Linked DNA regions of Oreochromis niloticus. The protein of the gene in region 1 interacts with the protein of each later gene in a biochemical or structural test. Links are inferred from orthologs where the notes say so. Each region holds a gene or a part of one and is shown in the gene's direction. Other genes may lie near its edges. The genes, in order: ubr5 and polyadenylate-binding protein-interacting protein 2.

What was found.
Region 2: the proteins of ubr5 (region 1) and polyadenylate-binding protein-interacting protein 2 form a complex in vitro, tested with the Homo sapiens proteins (2 studies listed by BioGRID and IntAct, with this or other methods). The link is inferred for Oreochromis niloticus from reciprocal best matches to the Homo sapiens genes UBR5 and PAIP2.

What each region holds. Positions count from the first base shown.
Region 1 is NC_031976.2:6,486,808-6,499,374, reverse strand, and holds the start of ubr5 (E3 ubiquitin-protein ligase UBR5), read left to right. Parts: upstream 1-6,396; 5' UTR 6,397-6,548; coding exon 6,549-6,610; intron 6,611-10,470; coding exon 10,471-10,515; intron 10,516-10,638; coding exon 10,639-10,720; intron 10,721-11,253; coding exon 11,254-11,330; intron 11,331-12,567. UniProt on the Homo sapiens protein: E3 ubiquitin-protein ligase involved in different protein quality control pathways in the cytoplasm and nucleus. Mainly acts as a ubiquitin chain elongator that extends pre-ubiquitinated substrates.
Region 2 is NC_031966.2:9,429,263-9,441,957, forward strand, and holds polyadenylate-binding protein-interacting protein 2, read left to right. Parts: upstream 1-6,874; 5' UTR 6,875-7,035; intron 7,036-7,292; 5' UTR 7,293-7,294; coding exon 7,295-7,435; intron 7,436-9,755; coding exon 9,756-9,935; intron 9,936-10,726; coding exon 10,727-10,792; 3' UTR 10,793-11,463; downstream 11,464-12,695. UniProt on the Homo sapiens protein: Acts as a repressor in the regulation of translation initiation of poly(A)-containing mRNAs. Its inhibitory activity on translation is mediated via its action on PABPC1.

The sequences.
Region 1 (12,567 bases):
AAGTAGAGAGGCAGGGCCATGGATAAAGGGGGGACCTGGTAGTTTCTAATATCTCCTAATAATATATCTTCTTAATTCATCCATGAGTGGAAAATTATGTGGACAAGTGCTTCAGACCCCCCCAACCCCCTTTTGTATAATGTTCATAATATAAATTCAGTGCAATTCAGTGCAAAATGCCCCCCCACAGTAATTTGCCCCTAATTATTTTCTTTCTACAATTATTCATTACCATTAATGTCATTCAGAGTTGTACCAAGATTACATTTTGTTAGCTCCAGTGTCTTGTGTGTAAATCACATCCCTACTTTGGTGCAAGGCAGCTGTGTTTGAATCATTTCACCTGACTGGAAGAAGGTTCAGATAGTTTGGTGCTTAAAGCAACAACAATATATTTAACATACTAGTCAATGACGTGAATAGGCTACATCTCTTGAGTCATTTTTTGTTTTTTATTTCTTCTCAAATCTCCCCCAAAATAGATATATATTAATCTGACTGCTGTTTAAATTAGCAGACCCTTGTCTTTTGTGGGAGGAAAGAGGTCAGCCAACAGGAGATGGCCTCAGCCAGCCCTGTGGATTAGGTAAGTGTCAGCTGTCTAGACCTTCCTGCACAGCACAGAGAACCGGGACAAAAGGCCGGTTGTAGACACACAATGGGGAAATACACACACAGACACACAGCCCATTTGACTGTGTCTGGCATTGTTGGGATGTTCCTCAAAAGCATATTTGCTGGAACAGAATAAAAGTGTGACCATGCAATGCATAAAGATTTCATTCATAACTTTCTCAAGCTCCCTGAAACTTGCATCCAGTGTCTCAGAACTATAAAAAATATGAATTAATTATTTTCTGATCAGTAATCCAACTTATAGTGCATTGCAACTGGCCAATCCACAGCTCATCTACACAAACCGTGTTTGCATGTTGAGTTTATTGCAAACAATTTAAAGATGAAAGATGGGGGGAAAATAATGAAGACTTCTGTTGTACACAGGGGTCTTCATTATATTAGAAATGTATGATAAATGTGGTACTCTCTAAGGTGGGTGTACTTTGTGATTGACAAGCAGCTGCTGCATGAGCATGCAGTTCAATTCCACCTCATCCTTGGTTTGCAAAACAGCTCAGCTTAAGTGAGAGGTTATGGCATAAAAGAGGATCCTGTGGCATGTTGTTGGTCTTTAACCAATCATAGAATAGCTCTTTAGAGCAGAGCCTCACAACATGTGTATACAGTTGTGCAAGTGTTACGACCAGTGCTTCATTCATGTTATGACCTGACCCCTAGATGGCAAGTGACAAATGGATAACTGGAGTTTGCTAGCAGGGGTGATTTCCACTTCGACTAGATTACCAAGGACTTGGCGTTCTCTTTAGATGTTTCAGAAATGGATGTGTTTCTATGTCCAGAAAGAGACTACTCACTACGTCTGTTTATTCACCAGCCATATAGAGACCAATATAATGCCATGTAAGCTGTGCAGAAATCCATGATTTTATGTAGGTTGTGCACAGAGTTTGTGCAAAATCCTTCGCCGCTCAGCACCCTTCTTGAAATCTCCAGGCAGTCTTTAATGGGCAGTTATTCTGAATCATTATAAAGTGAACTTGAACTTTAATGGTCACCGGTCAAATCAGGTGAAAACCGCTTAAAATAGTTTGACGACTGTGCTCCAAATAAAGCACCATCTTATCTCTGCTGGTGTGGGATTTTCTCATAGATTACATTTCAGGACTGGCTGAATCCTCTTTCTCTCTTTTTATATAGTTTTTTTGGTTTGTGCAGGCGAGTGCATGTTAAGAGGTAGAGCTACATTCTGTCCTTCCCTAGTCCTGCAAAGATATGCTTCTGCCAGCACTAAGAGGAGTTATTTTAAACTCATACTCTTCAGCTATTGATCATGTTACCCCAGGCAGCTTGTCTGGGTTCACTGATGAAAACAGCCTAGTTTTAAGGTGTAACAACTGGAAAACCTCTGATTATACTGAGTAGGATATCTTGTCTCTAGTGTCTCTGTGTGCAATAAAACTTTATTCATTGAGTTAAATTTGCAGCCTAAAATGTGCACACTTCCTAAATCCCCAAACCCACTAACCTTTCTCTGATGATAATGCAGTTTTCTGGCCCTGACTCTTTGTACCCATATTTAAGAACTCCCGGGGTCATTTAATAACCCAGCACCCTCCTACCTAAAAATAGCTCTGGTTTGTTTGTCTACACGCTTAAAAAAGGGTACAGGGTGTTTTTTTGGAGCAATGGCCTTGGCTTCAATAACCTCTGTGTTGAACTCAGTAAACACAGATAAAACTTACGCTCTTCTCTCATCTGGTTGGTTGATGTGGTGCATACAAACTTGAAGGAGAACGTATGATCAGATAATCTAGTGAAAATATGCTCACTTACATCTGCACTATTTCCCCTTATTTTAATAACATGGTTTAAATGTTTGCGAAATCAACAGTCATTCTTCACAGACGCTCGTCTAACACAAAGGCCACTGTAAGACTTGTGTGACTCGCGTCTTCTTCTTTATGTTACAACTGACATTTTAGGAAACATTTCCTCGGTCGAGCTGCAGATAAAGTGGACTGCAGGCCAGGGTAGGACAACATCCATGTGGGTCATTTTGAGTCAGATGGTTGCATTTCTCTCTGCGAGAGCTGAGTGGAAACTTGTGCTGTACTTTGCAGATAAAAGAGGAACCTGACTTGGAGGAGAAGTGCAAGTCTTTTTTCCTCAACATGCTTCAATGGAATTCGGCAGGCAAACTCTTATTTTCAGTTCCAGCTTTGAAGGGCGATTCTCCATGAGCTTATCAGAATGCATAAATATCCTGAAAAAACTCTGCAGAGTTTGTGTGTTAGCAAATAATCAGAAGAGCAGTGCAGGAAGGACAGCTGTCATTACTACAACTGTCTCACATTATTATCAAAGGTAAACCATGCCACCTACTGGTGAGATAAACTGCAGTTTTGTGAGATTGTACATGTATAACAAAAATATGAGTTGGAAATCATTGTTTTGCATAGGCTGTTTTCATTTATTTATTTGTCTTTTAACAATGCATTTTTTTGGAGGGGACAGGAAACACAAAATCTATATTTCAGAAAATTGGAAAATTCAAATCTTATCATTTGCACCATGCACTGAGCAGAGGTTCATTCACCCCTCCTCTCCCTAATGTGGCCATCTCTTGACTATAGCTCCTCTGCTCACATCCATGACATGCATGGGTCAAGAATTAAGCTCTGCTTAAACTATAGTTTCCTTTTGACAATGTTACATAATGGTAACGTTGTGCTTAAATTAGAGTCTTCTACTTTTTCTTTCTTTCAAACAACAGAAAATTATTTCCTTAACTCAACAGGGCTTAAATAGACTGGGAATACCGCACTAACACAGTTTTCCATGGGAGGAAGATCAGCTGTGCACAGACTCCCAGTGGTCTTCCATTTATAGAGCTCAGGTTTTAGGTGGTTCAGTTTGAAATATAAACCAGTGTAAGAATAGCAGCAATGATCTGAGGGTCATGATTTTTTTTTTCACTTTCTTTAACATCTGTTTCATCTCTGCTGCCACAAGGACAGATACGACTAATGTGGTATGAGGAGAAGAAAAGTGGAGTTCCTGCTTCATACACTCAAAATTAAAATATGCCCAAAACGCTGACTTTAATTTGATATAATGTAAATCTTACAAGTAATTTTGTTACATAAGTGCTATGTCCAAAATAATAGCACAATGACATTTACTTGATTAATGTACATTCAGTTTATACCAAGTATATTTTTCTTAATGATTAGATATTTTTAAAAGATAAACATTTCATTTTATATATTTCAGTTGCATCTTAATCAACATTATTGCTATGATTGAATACATTTTTAATGTATATTTACTTTTACTTTATTATACAACAGACATTCCCCTGTAGTGAGATGGATATTCTTTTTAATGTTACTTAGATACTACTTACATAAATGCGTATTAACTTATTTACTTACATTTGTCACTTAATTAGCTCTTCATCTTTATCTTTTATTGAGTTCTTTCTTTTTTTTAATTTGGGAGCTGTCTTATTTTATGATCTTGCAGCAAAAATTTCTGGCATAACTTCATCTATTTCCAAGGTGCATGGAGAGGATGAAAAGCTCACAAGGCAGGAACTCCAACAACACTTAAAATGAAAGAGGAGCAACTTTATTGACTGTACAACGCGTTTCGGCTTGTGGCCTTTATCTGGGTTTTGTTTTATGATCTTGCCCAGATTTGGGGAGGAATAAAGTACATCTGATCTTTTATTACAAATAATGTTCATTATATGCCAAAAATAATGGTTTAATAGTAAGTGCTGGTTGGTTTTTTGCATATTTAGTTGTTATATAGCAAAAACTGAAAAAACAAACATAGGATTAAATATACCTATTTCCAAATGGATTGAGAGAATAATCTGATTTTGTTTTTTATCCCTGAGCAGAACTTATGGAGGTCTTTAAAATGTAGTTTTGCAATTATTCTTATTTAATTTAGTCATAATTTTACTTTAGTCATAACAGATTTATACTTTGCTATTATAAATCAAAATGCTCCAAATATCCCAACAAGAAGGCCCATGGGGCCATGTTGGAAGTACTTGTTGGAAGTACTTTTGAGTAATAAATAATTACTTATATAAAAAATCATAATTTTATTTTCAGATTTTGATGTTGCTCTTACTGACACTAAATTAACTGGACAAATCACAATTTTAAACATTTTTCAGAAACATTATATTTACATTTCAATACAACTTAGACTCGGGCAGCTTGCAAAATTACACTGACAACTGTGCGGTGGTTGGATGTATTGGGAGTACAGAGCAGTAGTGGACGGTTTTGTGGAGTGGTCTGGGAGGAATCGTCTGCTTCCGAGAGATGGTGATTGACATTAGAAGGAAGAGGACAGTCACACAACCCAATCCTGCGACAAGATGTTGATGTGGTGCCAGAGTGCAAGTACCTGGGGATCCACATAAACAACAGACTGAACTGGAAGACCAATAAAGAGGCCATATACAAAAGGGGATGATGAGGCTCTGTTTTCTTTCAGTGTGCACAGCAAATTGTTCGAGATATCAGTCTGTACTGGCAAGTGCAGTGCACTTTGCTGTGGTCGACTGAAGGAGTAGCATCAGAACTGGTGACACCAGCAGACTGAATAAAGTGATTAGGAAGGCTGGCTCTTTTGAAACTGTGGTGGCGAGGAGATCACTGAACAAACTATTATCAGTTTTAGGTAATCCTTGACTGCAGCACTTAACTAGACAGGAAGCAGAGGAGCTTCAAGGAGCCCATTCAGATACACTCTTATTACAGAAACGGGAAATCTTTCATACCTCATGCTATCACTCTATATAATACAATTTATCTATCTAGCAGAAAGACATCTGATATTATTATTAGTAGTAGTATTAGTATTATTTTGTTGTTTTTTCATCATCCTTTCATTTGATTTAACTCAAGGATGAAATTTTGCAAGTAGGGGCAAAGTATACTTGTCATTAATGTCTTCATTAATATTTTATTATTCATAAATATTGTTTTAAAAAACAGGCGAGCAAAAGCAAATCGCAAACAACATACAAGCAAAGAATTCAATGCAGTTACTAGTTACAGGCGCACACGTATACATAGGCCTGCATAACCACACGTGTTCACAGGGAGAAAATAGCCACATTACAGTGGACGCTAGCAAAGAATTCAAGTTGGGTAGCTTAAACGCTAAAGCTAATAGTGCTAGCTGTTTAACATTATTATAACAACAGCAGTCCATCGTGTTAGCCTTTTAGGCTGACATTAATACATTTCTTACCACTGATTAGTTACCGTGTTATGTATTGTACATACCTTTTTTTTTTAACTGAATGGCTTTAGAAATAATATTTTATCTATTATTGAACATTTTGACTTGGAAGCAGACAATAAAGCTAGAATAATGACGCAATTTCTAATAGAAAAAACTATACCGCTTGTAACTGCACAAAAGGCACAAATTTGTGCTGCTTCTTTTTCGTTGATACTCTATTTTAAAACCAATTGTCTCATCTTTTTCTATTCTATTGTTCCTGCTTTTAAAGAGATAACCTCGCAAAATTTAACCCCTTCTTTGACCTTCATAGTGCTTTAGTGAACATATGAACACCTCGACTGCCTAACAGACAAAACAGACTAAGATGCAATAGGTGAACTGGATTAGAACAAAGCCTTCGGAGTGCAACGCTTGGCTTTTTGTTACAGATGTCTTTCTTCTCGAGGCCAGCCCCATCCAATTTTTTTATTTCCTGTTTGTGCTAGAGGTCCAACCAGCGGAGCGAGTGCATGTGCACTAATCAACACACACAGAAGAAGCTGGTTAGAGCTAAGATGGCGGCATGTGGGTGAGGAGGCTGGGATCTAACTCGAGCTTTTTCGCCCTTAAAAGATTCCTATGAATCCTCATATATACAGTAATCGAAAGAGTACCCATTTCCACACGTCTCGTTGTGATTTTGGATTGGCCCAATGACATCTATACACTTCGTGGTTCACCCGTTGCCCGGGACCGAGGATCAGCTCAATGACAGGTATTTTGTTGCGGCCCGTGGAAAAAGAAGACTTGAAATCAATATTTATGTGCGGGCAGTGTTGCTTAGTATTCGAGTTAGTATTTGTGCTCGATGTTGACATTGTCATGTGAATGTGTTCGGGTTTAAATTATTTAAATGACCCCCCCACCCGGGGGGTAAAATGAGGCCCGGCATTTTGAGGGATCCTTGTTAGCTTGCTGCTACCTAAACAGAGTCATTTGCTAACATGCTAACCTGTTAACTGGCTTTCAGTCGAATAGCTAACGCTAGCTGTCGGTTTCCTTGGTTCTCTGGATGGATTGGCTCTTAGTCAAAGTTGCGGGGTTGGGGGATGGGGTAAAGAGAGGGTATTAAAGGTCGTAAAAACACAACTTAGTAGAAAATTTAAATCTTTTTCGTGTGCAGTTACCATATACGCTCTTTGACAAGTGTCATTGTTTGTTTTGCGAGCGTCTTGTTGATTTACCGTGATCTATGCAGCGGCTAACGTCAGCTTACCGATAGCTAGCTGCTAATGCTAGCAAGCTAGTTAAGTCGCTACCACGCTCTTAAGAAAGCCAAATATTTGCATTTCAGGGCCTTTGTGGAAGGCTCTTCTTTTTCTTGACGCTTCATTAAACATTTAATTACTAACATCGTTTGAAATTATGTCACCGCTTGTCTTCTTTTAGCATTGCGCACTGAGATAAATATCTAAAATATGCAGCGAACTACTGTTAGCACCATTGCATTCAAATTAATCTAGTTATTGGCTTTAATAAGGTGGCAAGCCAAGGCTTTTAAAGTTTACGGTCTGTGTTGGATTCTAAATTGTCCTGAGTGCCCACACGCGACATTTTAAGTCTTCTCACTGTTGCCTTAATACAATGTGGCACTGCACAGTGTATTTGGCCACATACTACATTGTTGCTTGTAACAAAGTGCTGGTATGCATCACTCTGACTTTATGGATTTTTGGTTCTAGACTGAGTGTTCAGGAGATTGTTTACGACCCTTTTTTGGCAGAACATGCGATTTATGATAAAACTATTTATAACACCCATTGAGACTTAACTGATTAATGAGCTGCTCTACTTAAAGACAAAGAGGTCAAGAAGTCAAAGTGTTTTTAGAATGACCTTGAGATTAAATACTGGTTATGGGCACGGGAGGATTTAAGCATCCTCTGTTGGTTGATGTACTGTCCAAATCTGCGGGGATCAGCTTTGGTCTGATTGACAGGAAAGCACAGTTTGCTCTTGATGGTCAGAGGCACCGCTGAAACATCTTGATTGTATGGACTATTCCTTCCTTAAAAGAGGTCAGGGTTTTTTGATCCCCAGGCATGCATGTCATTGCATGCTGCTGTCACCATGTGGTGCTATCCCCCCCCCCCTTCACACCCCCTTGCTCACTCTCTCTCTGTCTGTCTTCTATGAACTTGCAGTTGTCAAAGCAGATAACTGCTTCTATCTGACATAAAAAGTCTTAGTCCAGCTTCCCTAGCATGAATATCTGGTCAGATTTCTTTGTTTGACCTGAGGTTTGCTTGCACACATTCATTTAGGACAGTGAAATGGCAAATGGCATTCCCCTGTAGTGAGATGGATATTTTATGTGGGGGGGGGGGGGGGGTTTCTGCTGCAGTGAAACAGTTTTAAATGGCTCATTGAAGGGAATAGACTTGTCTGTGCTAGGGTACTACCATTTATTTGATGGGAAGGTTAGTGAATGGCTGACCTGGATGCTTTGTGAGTCATTTTCTCTTACTTTTTTGCAGTGTTAGGAGTGAAGCATGAGCTTTTAATATGTTGTGTGTGTGACAAGAATTCTGCCTGTTCTGTTTTTTATGTCCCAGTGGTTTAGAGGCATTGGATGTAATTTAAAAATATTTCCTGTTTACATTCTACCTTGCTTTTGATAGCTTTCTAAAGGGTGGAATTAGATTGCATATTTTCTGGCTTTTTCTGACATTCTGCATAAACTGTGCATCTATTTTAGTACACAATTCTTTTTTGTATGTCTAAGTAGTGAGATATATGTGATTTTGTATGTTTGGCCTTGACAGTAACATGTACATTGTGATGCTTTTTTGTTTTTCTCACATCTTGGATGCCATCACATCACCAGTGATCTTTTGCACTTAAGAATTGAAGAAACTGTACAATCCAGACCTCGTGTGTGCTGAAGCATGATTGGATAACTGCATTTCCTTGATTGTGTGAGGTGCAAATGGGTTTCATGACATGAGACAAACACTTCTTCATAAAAGACACTGATAGTCTAAATAAGTATGGAAGTTGATGTCTAATTTCTTTCTTTTTCTGTGCTGATTTTCAGTGGACTGCAGCAGCACACAGTTAGGCCACCTATTTCAGAAAGTTATAAAACAGAGTATTAAAAGTTTACAGCAATCCTTGAATGTTTCTTTTTTTTTTTTAACCAATTAAAAAGATTATTTTGGACTGGCAGGACAGACAACTGCTTTTCATTGTGTCAGTGGGAGATTTTTTTATTTTATTTTTTATTGTCAGGTGGTTCTGGGGGAAATTCAGTATCTGTTTTCTATTTGGACCATTTCAGTTTCTCGTTGACACCATGTAGGGCTAACCATGTGATATTTTCATGCCATCCTCACATTGTTGTTACTAGAGATTGCAGATAGAAGATTCAGTTGCCTGCAGACAGCTGGATGGTGGTCATGACTCATCTTAAATGTCAATATAGGCAATCTTACAGCACATTTGTCAGGATTGTCAAGTGGAAAAGGGACCAAAAATAGTTTGCTTTACACTTAAGGGCAACTCACAGCAAAGCTTGAAATAGCTGTTATAATTTCTTTTATATTTTTTTTAAACTGCTTTGTGTATTTGATAAAAGGCATGAAGCAGTGAAAATCAATGAAGTGTAATTTTTTTCCACATTGCCAGTAATGATGGGTTGCGGATTCATAACCTTTGAACTATATAGTACATTAAAAACTGACTGAGGCTCAGTTTTCCAGGCGTGGATTAAGCTTAGTCCCAGACCATAAACTTAGTTTTTAATGAAGGTTATTGAATTTTCTTTTAGCCTGGGACTAGACTCAAACCATGTCTGGGAACTTGCTGAAAGGTATTTAAAATGCATACTACAACTCTGGCTTTTGCCACTGGCTGATATCTTCCTATGGGATCGTCCTTCTTAGAGGAAACTTTGGAGCCTAACAAAGAGCCTTTTAGCTACAGTCAAACAAAAATCAACAGAACTATAAGAGAGAGTTTTTACCAGTTTGTAACCATTCATTAATTTAAGTATAATATATATTTTATTCTCAAATAGTGAGAAATTAAAAGGTAACACTGAGTCATTGCATTGACTCTGGACAGTCCAACAGGCTCTAGATGCTTGCTGCACATACATCATCACATACAAGTTCCCACAGATGTTTTGTCAGTGCTGATCAAGAACATTTATTTTTTGTGTGTGTTATTAGCAACCTGTTGTGTGTCATACTGTTTTAAAACAAAACAAGTGTTTAACATGTCATCTTTTATCTTTGGCTTTTTTCTTGTCTTGCTATATGGTAGAAAAGAGGTTTTGTTTTCCTAGTTCCTAATTGAATTAACAAATTGTCCTGAGATCATTATGATCATTCAGATAATTTAAAAAGATGCATATATGTTAAAGCCTTCTGAAATGCACCTATATTCTTCTTGCTTTTAAAAATGTTTTACAGTAATTTGTATGCAAGTTAAAAGGGCTTGTATATAAACAGTAACTCATGTTACAGCATTTCTCTCAGTATGCTTTTTTGACTCCCACACAGGAACCTGCATTGAGGTCTTAAATTGGTCTGGGTGATATGTTAATGTAGTTTTGTTTTGTTTTTTTCTCAGACTCCGTGAAGTCTCAGAGAAGCTCAACAAATATAGTTATAACAGGTGAGTGTGTATCTGCGTTGTATTTTTAGGTGATTTTATTCATTGTGATCACTTATTGTAAACATTATTTTGCTTGCTGTCCTGTGTGTCGGCTCACTTTTTTTTCTTTTTCCTTTAATGCAGTCATCCACACCTTAGTCTGCTGGAGCAGGCCACCCTAAAACAGTGTGTTGTCGGTCCAAACCATGCCGGATTTCTCCTTGAGGTAATGCTATAAGTCATCAAATCAAACAGCTGCTGATCTGCTGCCAGGTCACAGTTATCAGATGCCCTCTGACTTTGCTGTACAACATGAGATAATATGCTTCAATAGATGTAGATATGGACTAGGGTTTTTTTTTAAATATGTTGTTAATATTTATCATAATTCTGCAGTTGGTGCAGCTCAGTTTGAACAGTGCAGTGACAAGTCATTAGTTAGTTGACCTCAGTTTGTATTTTGCAAGTGGGTGAAAGATGCTCAGCTGAAGTGTTGAGTGTGTTTGTTCATGTCAAGCTGATACCACATTATGATGATGTTGAATTATAGATAGCACTGTACAGCACCATGGTGATAAATGAGTTGGTATGCTGTAGTTAACGTGCTTATTAATTATCTTAGAAAAATAGTTTAAAGAAAAGACTGTATTTTACTCCGTTTTGTTTTCATTTCCGAATGTAATAAATTAATGTAAATGTATTTGTTTTCCCTTTTTAATTAATGTAATACATTAAAAGTCACTGTTGCGTCTCTTTCAGGATGGACGTGTATGCAGAATCAGCTTTGCTGTCCAGCCGGATCGCCTGGAGCTCAGCAAGCCGGATGGCAGCGATGGGTGAGAGACTTGTTTATGATGGGATCTGTCCCAGGAAACCTTTTTAGCTTTTAGCTTTGGCACTGAATTGGAAAACAGATTGCTTGTGGAAACGTCTCATTCAAGATGCGAGGAATATGCTCAGGCTTATGGATCTTGGTTGCTGTAATTTGAATTCTAGTCAGTACTTATGCCCTTTTTGGCGAGTATAACACATTTCTAGCATATTACTGTGGTATTGTCTGTTTCAACAAAGATTTGCTCCAAAGTCTTAAATATACCTAAACTGCTGTTTGAATATCAGATGCTCTTGTTTTAGTTTAATTCAAATCAAATCTTCTCAGTATAGCTTTATCTTAGGAATTTATTTTTTGTACCTCAAATTTTAAAAAGAAAAAGCTTCTTTTTTTTTTCTTGACACCAATAGACTAAAAACATAGCAGCCCTAAAATTGTTTTTGTAACTTTCTGAAAGCCAGTTCCCTTTTTGGCTGAGCAAGTGTGTGCCATTTGCCACAACTTTTTTTTTTTGTTTGTATGTTTCTATAAAAATACCTTTTCACTAGCTGCTTTGTTTCTCGTTGGCTATGAACATGAATTTTGGTGAGTGTCTCATTGATAGTTGTTGATGTCCTGCCAGCAGAACAACATCCAACAGTGATTTCATATACTAGCTGTTCAATATGCATGCGAGTCGGGCTGTAAGAGACTAAGGAGCCCTCTGCTCCAGATTTTGCTGTAGAGCATATGTTTCGTTCCCTGCCACAGACTCGCAGAACAACAGGACATGGCTTAGCTATTCATTTGGCACTATTGTGGGTTGTTGGGAAGCCCGAAGAAAAGAGCCTTGACAGGTTGTCTTTGGGAAGTTTGTCAGCATACTCAACAAACACATTTGTGTGGTTTTGAATTGTAATGGATTGTGTCAGCTTGTTGACTGCTGGATTGAATTTGTTTGCTTTTATTATATCTGAATGATTTGACTTTCCTTTTCTGTATTCTATTTCCTTCTGTAACAGTGTAGTAATACCTGATTATGTTATTTTGTTAAAAGGGTTTGTTTTTTTGTTTTTTTCTTCATTCAAAAGACAAATTATACAAATGTACAACACATCACTTAGGAATATTGCAGCTAACTACTTTTGTTTAAACTCATACAACATTACATTACATTATTCAATTATTAGGAGAAAGCACTCGCAGCCCCAAAACCCAAGAACTTTTAAAAATAGAAAGTCTTGATGGAGGAATGAGTTGCA
Region 2 (12,695 bases), on another chromosome or scaffold:
AATGACCTCCAATGCTTAATGGTTTCATTGACTTTTAGTTCTTTCAGTAGAATAAACCTCCAGTCACCAGGTCAGGTGACTGTCTTTTATTTCATTTGTTTCCCACAACCTCCAGTCCAAAATGTTGTATCTGTCTCTTTCACTGCATCTCATTCATGTATGTGTTTACAGTTCCTACACCAGGTCATGGTAGCAGTGTCTGAAGCCGGGTACTCACTTGAGGGTTTTGTATTTGGTGCAGATGTTGAGACGGACTATTCTCCCATTGAAGACGAGGGGGTTCTGGGTGTAATGCTTCACCAGCATCTCTGCATCCTCCACAGCTGCCAGCTGAATAAACGCCTGGACACACAGACGAACACAAAAGCAGCCATCATTCAAACTTACTTCACCTTATCACAGGCTATACTCAGCCCAATCTGATCTCCACACTTTCTGTAGTAATGCTGGCATCACATCAGCACTCAAAGAGCAGCAGTGTTTCCTGCTCTGGTTTATTTACCCGGTCGGTTAAGAAGAGGTGTTTCTCAACCACACCGAAGCGTTCGGCGAGGGTCAGCAGCTCCTGTTTCTTCTCGTCCTCTCGGGGCAGGTGGTAAAAGAAAACCACCTTGCTGCCGTGACTTTTGACCTCTTTCTCAGGTTTGTCTATCGTCCGCTCCACCCGCCGGGTCATCAGTTGGTCCCCTGGTCGGTCCACCGGCCGCTTTGTCGGTCGGTCCATTAGTCGCTCGTCTTTCTGCGGGTTAGAAACAGAAACTTCTTAGGATCTGAGTCTGTGGGGAAGCGGCGAGTTTTATTTAGCGAACGAGGGCGATGTTACCTCGATGAACATGAGGGTCTGGGACAGGTAGAAGGTGACGGGTTTGCCGTACAACAACAGTGGATGCTGCTGGTAGTAGTTCACCACGTCCAGAGCTTCTTCATGTGTGCTCATCTCCAGAAAAGCCTGATGGTCACAAAGATTAGACTTCAATGCTGAATTCAGTTTTCCTCAGAGAGGTCTGCTTCACGACCAGTTTCACAACCACGTATTTAATGTTGTTATTACTGGATTATATTCAGACTTCTTTGAACTCCAGCTATCTATAGTCTCTTATCACAAGCTCGATCTGACTCCATCTCCACCATCTTGGACTGCAGCTGGTGCCAGCAGTCCTCCTCCTGGTGTGGAGATCCTCTGTGAGTGGGTTCAGCTCAGCGAGGCTGCGAAGGAGAATGAGGACTGCCAGCTGCAGTTTCAGATTGAGGAGATGGAGTTCATGTGGATGAAAGAGTCACTGGTGAGGCAGCTGATTGTAATGTTCAGTTACATTTATGAAGAAGAAAGTTTAACTAATGTTTACATCTAAGTTAGAAGTAACTGAGGTGGAAACAGCGAGGTGAGTTTTCCTACCTTGTTCTTGAGGATGAGGTGCTCCCTCAGGCAGCCGAAGCACTCGGCGAGGGCGAACAGCGTCTTGTCGCTGAGAGGCTTCCTTTCATATTTCACCACCACCACCCTGCTCCTCAGCTGAGGACACGACACAGTCTTTACTGAAACCAGCTGAGCTCTGCAGAAATAAGCTGATCCGCAGGAAGAAACAGCAGAGAGACATAGGGGATCAAACTCACCTTATTCTGTCCCAATGGACCGGGACCACGTCCTCCTCCTCCTCCTGACACACAAACACACCGATGTTTGCACATGAGAAAAGACAGATTTCAAAAAGTGTCTGCAGCTTTCCGAGGGCACTAAACAGCCGGGTCTCTTAACCCTCACCCACTTTTTTTAATGGCTCTCTGTATTTACTATACCTGAGCTTTTTAACCATTTTTATCCCAAAGTCAGCAAGCTTGGCATACAAATGTAACACTGAGCTCACAGGAGAACCCGACTTGATCGGTTGGAAGTTAAAGACTTGACGTCAACTGTCTGAAACCATCTTTATGAATTAAATAGTGACTCCCCACACAGAGAGAAAGTGATAAATGACTTAAAATAATCATGAAGTACTAATAGTATTAATAGTGATAAAATAAGACATCTGTGGGTCCCTCACCTCCACCCCAGCTCGAGGACATCCCTGCCATTGGTCCTGAAGACATGGGGGCTGGTCCCAGCAGTCCTGCAGACAGGTTGGGGGTCTCCCAGGGACGACCACTGGAATTAAAAACATGTGATCGTCAGTTATCAGACATCTAGATTATTAACACACAACACAATCAAAGAGATGGTTTGTGAAACCTCTGGAGGCAGGAAAGTTTCTGAATCTTTAAAGTTTTTCCCACAAATAAAATTTATATTCATGTATTTTTTCCAACATCTGAACAGATTGTAAGTCAGCTTAAAAAAAATGAAACTCTCAGACTGTCTTGGTTGTTTCTAACAGCCTGTGGAGGGATTTCTACATGCTGGATTTATCTAATGAAGCCCATCTGACCAAACAGGAAGTTGCCTGTCAGGTGTACAGTATGCTTGCTGCTCTCTCTGCTGCTGTGCACCATACATGACATACAATGCAAACAACAGAAAGACAAAACAGTGCAGGACAGTCTGTTTGTGCATGGCTGTCAGTAATAACACTTTTCCAAGGTTACGCCGAGGTCCTTTAGGACTCTAAATCTAACATCTCAAACACTAAAGGAGGAGCTTAATGTTAGCATCTCTTACCCTCTGCCTGGGCCCATACCAGGGTCCCACTCTGGATACCTGAAAAACAACATTCAGTGTTACACATCTGATAAAGAGGAACAGACCTCAAAGGGGCATTTAGTCAACACCGATGAGCCAGAGGAGCATGTTTGCGTTGGTTTGGGTCCTGAATCTCTGCAAACCAACCTAATTTGTTCTGATGTGAACATGCTGTTAACAGATTCAAAACATAATCTGTTTTGGCTCACTGTTGTGTATTAAGAGCGACTCACATGTCAAGAAGCTGCCGTCTGTTTTCAGCATGGTAGAGGCCGTTAATGTGTTGGTTCCACTCCTGCAAACACAAACAGAGCATTACTGACACTCAACAGGCTGTTTCTCCTAAAATACAACCTGTATATTAAAGGAACAGTTCACACAGGTATTAACCTTCATAGCGTCATCCACACAATCACTTAGGACCAGATTTACTAACAAGTTAAATGCAGTTCATCGGGTTTCCATTTTAAAACCAAAAATTCATGATTAAGATCTTTTTAAGACCTAGAAAAACTAATAATTCATTATATTTTGTGTGCAATAATCACTATAACAGACAGTATTTGATACTTTTTTTAAGCCATCAGTGACAGTCATACAGGCAAGAAGAGCTCACCCACATATCATCAAACCTGCTCACTGTGTGACTTTGGTTAGTAGGTTACTAACTTCCTGTTGATTTTTGGTAAATTATGTTTGGTCAGCATTGAAAAAAACCATGTGCGTCCATGTTAAAATTTTTTGCTTTAAAGCCAAAAACTGTACATTTCTTCTCAGAGACAATTTAAATGTCCAAATTCGAGTGATAATCGATTAAATCCTTCTTTCTCACTCCTGACACCACAAACTGAAGAAAAACAAACACAAGACCCCAGCTGCCAAAAGTCTCACAGGTTTAAAAGCTGCCAATTCGATAAGTCCATGAATGTGTGAGGAGCTTCAAATGTTTCATGTTGGAGACACAAGGAGCAAATCAAGATCCTCCCAGGACTTTGTTAAAGCTAATGAAGTGAAAAGATCAAGTAAATCAGACTGAATGTGTAACATTAACAGCTTTACCAGCTCATGTGAACAGATACTAATTATAAAAAGAGATTTTTGCTTTGATTGGATGACCCCTGGAAAGATCCAAATCTAACTGTTCAATGCTGGAGAGCTTCAGCTGAGAAAATTGAGAGAGGGAACATGCTGTGAGGAGATACAACAAGGAAATTATATGAAGTAAACCGGACCTGAATCAGCGCCTGTCACTGACTGAAGGAAGACTGGAGCTCAAACATTTACAGTTAGTCCGAGAAGAAAAGAGGAAGCAGGTTGGACGTACTCACCATGGTGGAATGAACGTCAAAGTCACAAAGAGAGCACACGTGGGGGAACATGGGGGGCATGACTCCCAAGAAGTCTTGGACTTTTCCGTTTGACGGGGAGCCCATCCTCCTCTGCATAAAGACGGGCTCAGACGGGCCCATGCCGAGCCCACCGCGGTGGGAAAGCTCAGAGTATGGCCTCTCTCTGCTCCCACCTCCACCGCTGTAATTTAAGCCGTAGCCCCGGCCGGAGGAGACGTCCTGCAGGGAGCTGTACCCAAAGTCTGTGGAGGACTTGGCTGAACCTTGTCCCAGAGAAGAATTGCCCATCCTCCCCACGTGCCCCTCTTCCCAGCTTCCTCCTCGATACGCAGCATCAGAGGACATGGCCGCCCGCCGCTCTCCTGCTTCCCCCTTGCGGCTCTTCAGCTGCCTGAGGATGTGTGGCAGCGTCTCCACACTGATATCCTCCTCAGGGATTTCAGCCAGAGCGTCCAGGTCAGAGGGCGACAGCCCCAAACTGGCAAACAGCTTCATGGTGCTGCCAAGATTGCTACTGCTGCCACCGCCGCCACGTCGGGGCATCTGCCCGCTGCCGTCCTGGCCCTCCATGGCCATGTCCACACCCACCCCACCCCCATTGGTCTGTTGGGACGCTGCTCGTTCATGCTGAAGTTCAAGGTTTCTGCAGCGGCCAGGAGCCCCCTACCCACGGTGAAGTGTTTCTGAGCGCCGTCAGCCTGCGTCTTCTGAGACATGATATCAAAAAGTCTGTCTCGCTCTCTGGATTCAGCACAGAGAGCCAAGATAAAGAAGGAAACAGGCGCTGGAAAAGGTCTTCAAAGATGACAGGAACTTAATGTGGTCAAAGTGAGCAGGAGCTCCTTTTCTTCTGTGGTGGCAAGTCTTATTTCTGCTGAGACACAATGAGTTAGAAAAAGCTTCAAACAAAGCCTCTCCTAAGAAAACAGGAGCCAGTGGAGGCCCTGAGCCACAGACGGAGGAGCACGACTCTGATCTTTACTGCAAAGGGAACATAAGAGGCGGTTAAAGGAGGAGGGAGAGAAAGATTCACCTCAGCCCGGCAGGAGGAACATGACCTGATGCAAACAGAGTGATGGAGACCTCCTCACTGAGGAATAGAAACTCTGAGTCAATGGAAACATCGACAAGATGCGAGATTACAACGAGCCTCTGAGTGAATCACAGCCTGACACAGACCAGGAGTAACATCTGTGCAGGTACAGTGAGAGGAGAAGGAAAGCTGCAGCAAACACGCTTTACGGGTCGAGCTAACAGCTAAGCTAGCGGCGCTATCATATCTAGGTTGTTTAACTTGACATGTTAACTAAAAGATTAAGTACGCTGTCATATATGACAAAATGAAACCAAAAACGACTCAGATAAGCTGCGCAGCTAACTTTGCTAACATACATCTCCTCCTACCTGCTAACACTAGCATAACTAACACCCTTAAGTTATCTGATATTTAATGTGCAAACTGTGCATGAAGCTGTTAACTGTGAATTTACGTGTATAATATCATTTATCTGTAATTACGGACACTCTTACCCTTTCTCCAACACCCGAGCCCAGCTGATTAGTAAATAGCACGAGACAGGTGACCAAACTGGAGGACGTGAAATATCGCGATATTTCCTCTCCTCCTGCACCAGGCAGTGTTTTTGTTGTTTCTGTTCGCTGCTGAAATGTTTTCTATGAAAATAACTATTAACACAACACACACTTAGGTCCTCCATATTAATAATTTCTCTCAGGTTCTGTTATTACTATAGAGGATATGTATTTGGTTTAAAAAATGGGTTTAGGTTTGTTAAATCAGTGGATTTTATAAACTTTCGGAGGAAGGCAGGCTTTCAGAGTTTGGACTACAATGCTGCTTTCAAGGTCGGAAAAGGTGCCAGCACCTAACGTGATGAAAGCCCTTCTCAAATTGAAAGAATTAGATCAAATTACAAAACAAAGAAATATTCCAGTGAATATAGTACTTTGTTTATCTGGGCGTGAGTGGGTGTCCAGATAAAATAAACAGCTACACAAGGACTGCTCAGACATGGACTTTCTTATCCTAGGCAGATTATAGTTGTATAAAAGATCAACAAACTTTTTATTGTACTTGTAAACCCACACAGAATAGTTATTTCACTGTTTACTTTTTAATACAGACAACACTGAAACCTGTCTACACAAAAGAATCACAACACCTACACCTACTGAACCTTTATCTTTTGGCTGCTCCCTTTATGGGTCACCGCAACACTCATCTCCAACCACTCCACCTCACCCAGTGTGCACGCTCTTCTTCAGCCCCCTTGTGCAATGTTTATTGCTTTAGATTGTTGACTCCAATTAATTAAACTCATCAACCTTCACTATCTGAGCTATTTGCATGTACACATTTTCACCTGTTTCCTTCTCATCCACATGCATGTATTCTGTCTTGCTTCTACTGACTTTTACTTCTCTTCTCTCCAGAGAATACCTCTCTTCCACCTGCTCCCTGCTCTCACTGCAGTTCACAATGTCATCTGTAAACATAATAATCAACAGAGACCCATGCCTGTTCTCTCGAATGAAAACTGTAGCTACATCAATTTAGAGAAGTACCCCGATTATTCTAAGCTGATATTTATTCATGATGTCCAGTGATCTACTTACATTGATGACTAAATATAAAAAATAACAAGCTAAAGTGTAGCGTCGATTATAATGTGTATCCAGACATAAAGTTCTTTGGATCGGTGCACTGTGATATTTAGTGAATGAATAAAAAGTGAAATAGAGACCCAGAACACATTCTCAACCTCTGGTATAAATAACGTTTACCTTGTCTGGTCTTCTTGTTAGATACCTATTTTCCGACGTTAAGGCGTGAAGTCCATGAAGGCAACAGGGCCTCGACCAATGAGGAGCGAGCGCACGGTGACGGCGGAGATGTAAACAAACAGAAGCAGCGCGGCCATTACAGCAACAACCGAGTTCCAGCAAGTTGACCGTTTCTCTCTTCTGTCGTCGAATAAATCACCCCCGAAGGTATTGTTCTTCATAAAAACACAGCTGCCCGTTTCCCCGTGCTCCTCTAACGCGGTTGGGTGCTCGTGGTGGTGTTTTCGCGGGGATATTTTTCTGTTACTGTTGTGTTCTCGCCAAAAATTATTCGCTAGCTGCTTGCTATTGTTGTCCGTCATACAGCGGCCATGACAGCGAGCATCATAACGGCCGAAGCTACGTGTTTGTTCCCGTTGACCTCTCTCCCTCTCCCTCACTGTGTCCTCTGGTTCTCCTTGTAGACATGAAAGACCCGAGCATCAGCAGCGGGGCCCCGAACATGACCACCGGCACCGATGTGATCCTCACCAGCCAGTTCAACGCCGAGGACGACCCGTTCGCCGAGTATATGTGGATGGAGAACGAGGAGGAGTTCAACAGGCAGGTGAGGAGCTGGGCCGAGGCTCACCTGGACTGCAAGTATAAAAATCTGCGTTTAAGGCGGAAAAATGGTTAAATAGTCTGAAATTAAGTTTATTACGGAGGAGGAAAAGTCATCCAAAAACACAGCAGGCTGATCCTTTAAGGTAGAACAGATTTAGCTGGAGTTTAAAGAGAAGTTATACCTCAAACCAGTAGCTACAGAAAGACTCAGTTGACTGTTAAGGTGGAAATCTAATGTTTGAATAACAAGTTCAAAGATTAATTATTGCCTGAGATTACAGACTAGTTATCTTTTTATTAACTATTGTTTTATAGATACATTATGTCCAATGTATGGTGGACTCAGATAACTTTTAAGGTGGAAATCTGTTTTTCAGTTTACAGATTACACCGAGAAATTGTTCTGTAAAACACGTGTATGCAGACAAATATAGCTTTCCCTTTTAAGATCGAAATCTGTCATTTTCCATACAGATTACACCTCAAATCTGTATTCTTCTACTTAAAATGAAAGATCAGCATCTGCACACGGACTCCTCTGACTGCTTTAAGGTTTGACTTGAGGGTGATTTATTTTGGGAGACAGACAAGGCGTCTGAAAAACACTCCAAGATGAATTTTTAAGGTGGGAATAAACAGATGAAGTTGCGGATTTGTTCATTTTTATATGAGCTCAGTGAGCTCAGTTTCTGAGGTAGAAATCTGCAGATTAAGATAAATTGTACCTAAACAGTTGTTTTTAGTTGTAAGCAAAGATCAGTATCTTCAAACAGACTGCGTCAACTTTTAAGGAGGAAATCTGTTCTTCTTTTTATAGACTGCACTCACGTTGCTCTGATGTGAAGCTCCCATATGCAGATAAAGCAGTATGTTATGGTGTAGATTTCTGCAGACAGACTTTCCTGGTTGGATTTGGAGGTTTAAGGGAAACTACATGTCAGAATTTTGTTGTTTTAGTCAAAGTGTTGCAGTAGAATTCAAGTCTGCTTTGCTTGGAACTAAAGATCAGTTTCCATAGATAGACTTTTAAAGTGAAAATCTGGGGTTTATGTTACAAGAAAAAAATAGCCTTAAATTGGAGTTATTTATTTGAGAAGTATCTAGAAACATATTCATTTTTAAGGTGGTAATGTGAATATTAAGTTGTAGTTTATTGAGATTAAGAGAGATAAAGTGAAATTAGGTTGATTTGATTTGAAGACAGGGAAAGTATCCAAAAGCATGATGGGTGACTTTTTAAAGTGTATATCTGTAAACATCTTTACAGGTTAAACCCAGAAATTGTGCTGTTGTACATCTTGTATATACAGATGACAAATATTAAGGTAGAAATCTGGACTTTTAAGTTGAAGATAAAAAGAAACTTTGTATGTTTACATACAAACTCAGCTGATTTTGGTTATTAAGGTGGAAATCTGTTTTTCAAAAATAGTGATTTTTACGGTGAAAATTTGCACTTTAATGTGAAAGTATGTTGGTCAGCAGATTAAATAGAATATTTCCAACACCTGTGTTGTTCAACTGAAAACAAAGGTCATTGCCTACAGATTCACTTTTTTAAGGTGGAAATCTAGGCTTTTGTTTACAGATTAAAGGAAGGTTAACGTTCAGAAATTGTGCATTCTTAAAAGTAGCTGTGATTTTAAGGTGGAAATTTGCAGTTTGAAGGAAAATTACACCGAGCAGCTGAAGCCTGTGTGCACCACAAAGCAGCAGCTCCTTGAGCTGGAATTCAGGTCAGGCGGTGGCCTGATTATGCAATCAGCTGACAGCGTGTGGAGTCGGTTAACAGAGGAGTAGGTGGGAGGCGTCCGGTTGGAAATTTCCATAAGGATGTTTTGTTTGGAAAAAGGAAACTGAGTCCGTGGAGCTGTGTTTTAGAGAGCGTTACGTTTCACAAAGGAGGGAGGACAGCAGCTGCTGTGTTACTTTAACTCTGTTCTCTGTTAAACTCTTTGAATGTTTCCGATTTATATTTGTAAAATCAGCCGCTCTGTTTCGAGTAGTCGTCTCGTTGTGATTGGTCAGGTGTTGCAAACCCCGCCTCTGCCATGTGAACACGGTCATTGCTAGATTAGGAAAGCCTGGGCTTACTTATTGAGCTGCTAACCAGCATCATCTTAGCCAGAGAAAGAAACAAGGATAACTGGATTAGTAGAAGGGGGTGCAGAGCAGATTCACCAGAAGAACATTGTAGCATCTCCCCTTAAAGTGTTCTCTGTGTGATTTTCGCTCTCGGGTTGGATGACACGTTAAAAGTTTTGGTTCTTTGTTGGTCCAACAAGCGGTGACATCTGCTTCTCTGCGTGTGTTTTCGGCAGGTGGAGGAGGAGCTGTGGGAGGAGGAGTTCATCGAGCGCTGTTTCCAGGAGATGCTAGATGAGGAGGAGGAGTGGGAGTGGTTCATCCCGTCCAGAGATCTCCCTTCTCAAAGCGTCAGCCAGCTGCAGGAGCAGATCAGCCTCCTGGTCCTCGATGGTGACAAAGACCTGGATGTGGTGGTGAGTTTATCACCTTTACCATCGGTTACAGAGAAAACTGGTGTTTTGGCCATAAAAATAAAAGCTGTCAGCTGACGTTATTCCAACACATTATAAAAAAAACAGTCTGCAGATGAAAACGATTATCTGCAGTGTGTTTTGATGTTTTTGCTTGAAGGAATGATAAAACTTTAAGAGATAATTAAATCTGAGGTCAGCTCTGCAGAAGAGCCAAACAATGAATATTTTACCCAGAATTCACTGGAGTGTTAACTTCTTTTTCCCCCCCTTTTTTTTAAGTATAAAACATTTTTTTAAGTAGGCCTGATTATGAAAATGTAGGATTACAACAAATATACTCTATTCATCCCGAATATTGGTAAATCCTGTTACAAGAGCCAAAACATTAAAAACAACCACTAATAAAATAAAATAAAGTTTGAAAAATAGAATAAAAACTACACAAATAATTTAGCATAGTCAAATGGAAAAAGATAAAGGACCTCAGTATGTAAAAATCTGAATTAAACATGTGTAAAGCTGAATATGATACAATAATGTGTAAAATAGTGCAATAAAAAATAATGAAATCATTAATACAGGAAGAGCTGCTGAGTGAGACAGCACAGTGCCTGAACGTGTCTGAAAACATCTCCACACTCACTGATTTCTTAGGTTTTTTTCTTCCTAATTAGTTGATTATTAAATTAGTCTCTGACTGTTGACCCTCATCTGTCCAGCAGAGGTCGCCGTTTCTTTATTTTCTTCACAGAAATAACAATGACGGTTTTTCTTCTTCTTCTCTCCTTTAGGTGACCAGCAGCTTGAACCCCAATGCCAAGGAGTTCACCCCAGGCATCCAGAAACACGCCATGTGACCCGGCAAGGCTCCTCCCTCCCCCTAACCCTACTCCGCACTGTGACATCATCACCAAGATGTCTGCTGTATTTTCCAGCCGCCACTCGACCTTCAGCCTGACGTGTTGCCAAAGTTCTGCGCTCGCATGTGTTCACAGTTACAGTTAGTTTTGTGTGTGTGTGTGTGTGTGTGTGTGTGTGTGTGTGTGTGTGTGTGTGTGTGAGTGAGTGAACTCTCTGAATGTACATCAGCTGAGAGGAGTGTTTGTATGACTCTAAATCAGAACAAACTGCTTCCTGTCTCCACTTTAATTATTATTTTTGGGGCACTTTTATAAAACCTGAAATCAAACCGTGTGCTTGTTTTTTTTTGTTTTTTTTTTCTTTTAAAATTCGACTTCCTGTTCAGAGGGTCGCCTTCGCCGCCTCGTGGCGTCTAAAAGCACTTTTCCGGTCGTGGTTTGTTTAGCTGGCTGTTCTGCTGTTTCTTGCTCTTTTTCCCAGCATCCTTGGCGTTTCTGTCAGCTCTGACCTGTCTTCGCTCTGCTGCCTACATCAAATAACTCGTGTTGACTTTTTTTCTAAATGCACAGAAAGTACTGTATAAAAAGTCGTATAAACAAAAACAATGTAAAAAAATCTATTTTTTCTTATACTACTTGAAATAAATGTTTATGAAAGGAAAAAAAAAGTGTTTGTTTGTTTGTTAATAAAAAGCATCCACACAGCTACGAGAGCATAAAGGACTGGGCAAAAGTCTTGAACCAACCCAAAAGTGCAACAATCAATTGAAACATGTAAACATACATGGAGATGCAGTATATGATTTATGTAAGTATGGTCATTTATAAAGTAAAAGAAAATATTACTTTTACATTTTTTAGAATGTTCTTTAAAATTATTAAATAGTCATTTTTAAAAATAAATAAACATATTTTATTTATATGCTACACACTTGACCTCAAATAGTTCACTGAAAGTTAAAAACTTGTGTTTTAATGGAGTTTTGCAGCTCCGCCTGCAGGGGGCGACAGAGTCTGCCCAGCCTGTAGGCCCTCAGCTGGTTTCTAACCTCCAGAGCTGCTGTCTGAGCTGGAATTTAGAGCGAGGACTAATTTATCTGACAGGAAGTTCCTCCTGCTTGCTCTGCTCTCTCTTCTTCTGTGACAGAGGCACAAAGCAGCGGCGGCCATAGATCAGCCGCAGCCCTCCATTGTCGCCCGGTCAGGTCAGATACAGACCAGGACTGCAGCCATGCATGCTGATGAGGGTGTGTGTATCAAAGGAGGCGTGGCCTCAGGGGTGGCAGGTCACACATTCTTGCTGAGTGCTGATTGGTCAGAGGGAGATGTTGGGGAATGTGCAACAGCCACAGATGTCTGCAAAGTGCTGTGAGGTCACGACCCCTGTGTTGGTGTCAGGACGCCCAATCCCCACCCATCCATCTGCATGTGATCACCTTCAGCATCATCTTCGTCATCATCTCCATCAGAGCATCCTCAACAGAGGCTCATTGTTCCTCTGGTAGAAGAGGAGGAGGAGTCTGAACATCATCCTGCTTGTTCTTCACCTCCGAGACGATGGTTCAGGTTCAGGAACCGTGGTGGTTGGGTTTGGTCAAAGAAACACCTGATGAGGCCTTTTCTTACACTCGTTAGGCGTGATCCTTTTCGCCGCGTGGAAGGAGTGGTTCTCATTCCAGATCTGGGCCACAAAACACGAAACAGATCAAACTTTAGTGGACCAGACTGAAACATGGTTTAAGTTCCTTTTTTCATGTTACATGTTTTCCAGTTACTCTTACAGTCTTTACACACCGGACGCCTAAAATTCCTGAGAATATTTCATGCATTAAAAATATTTTTCACCCTTTTTGGACCAATCAGATCACTGCATTTGACAACAAGTGTACCTGAAGTTTAA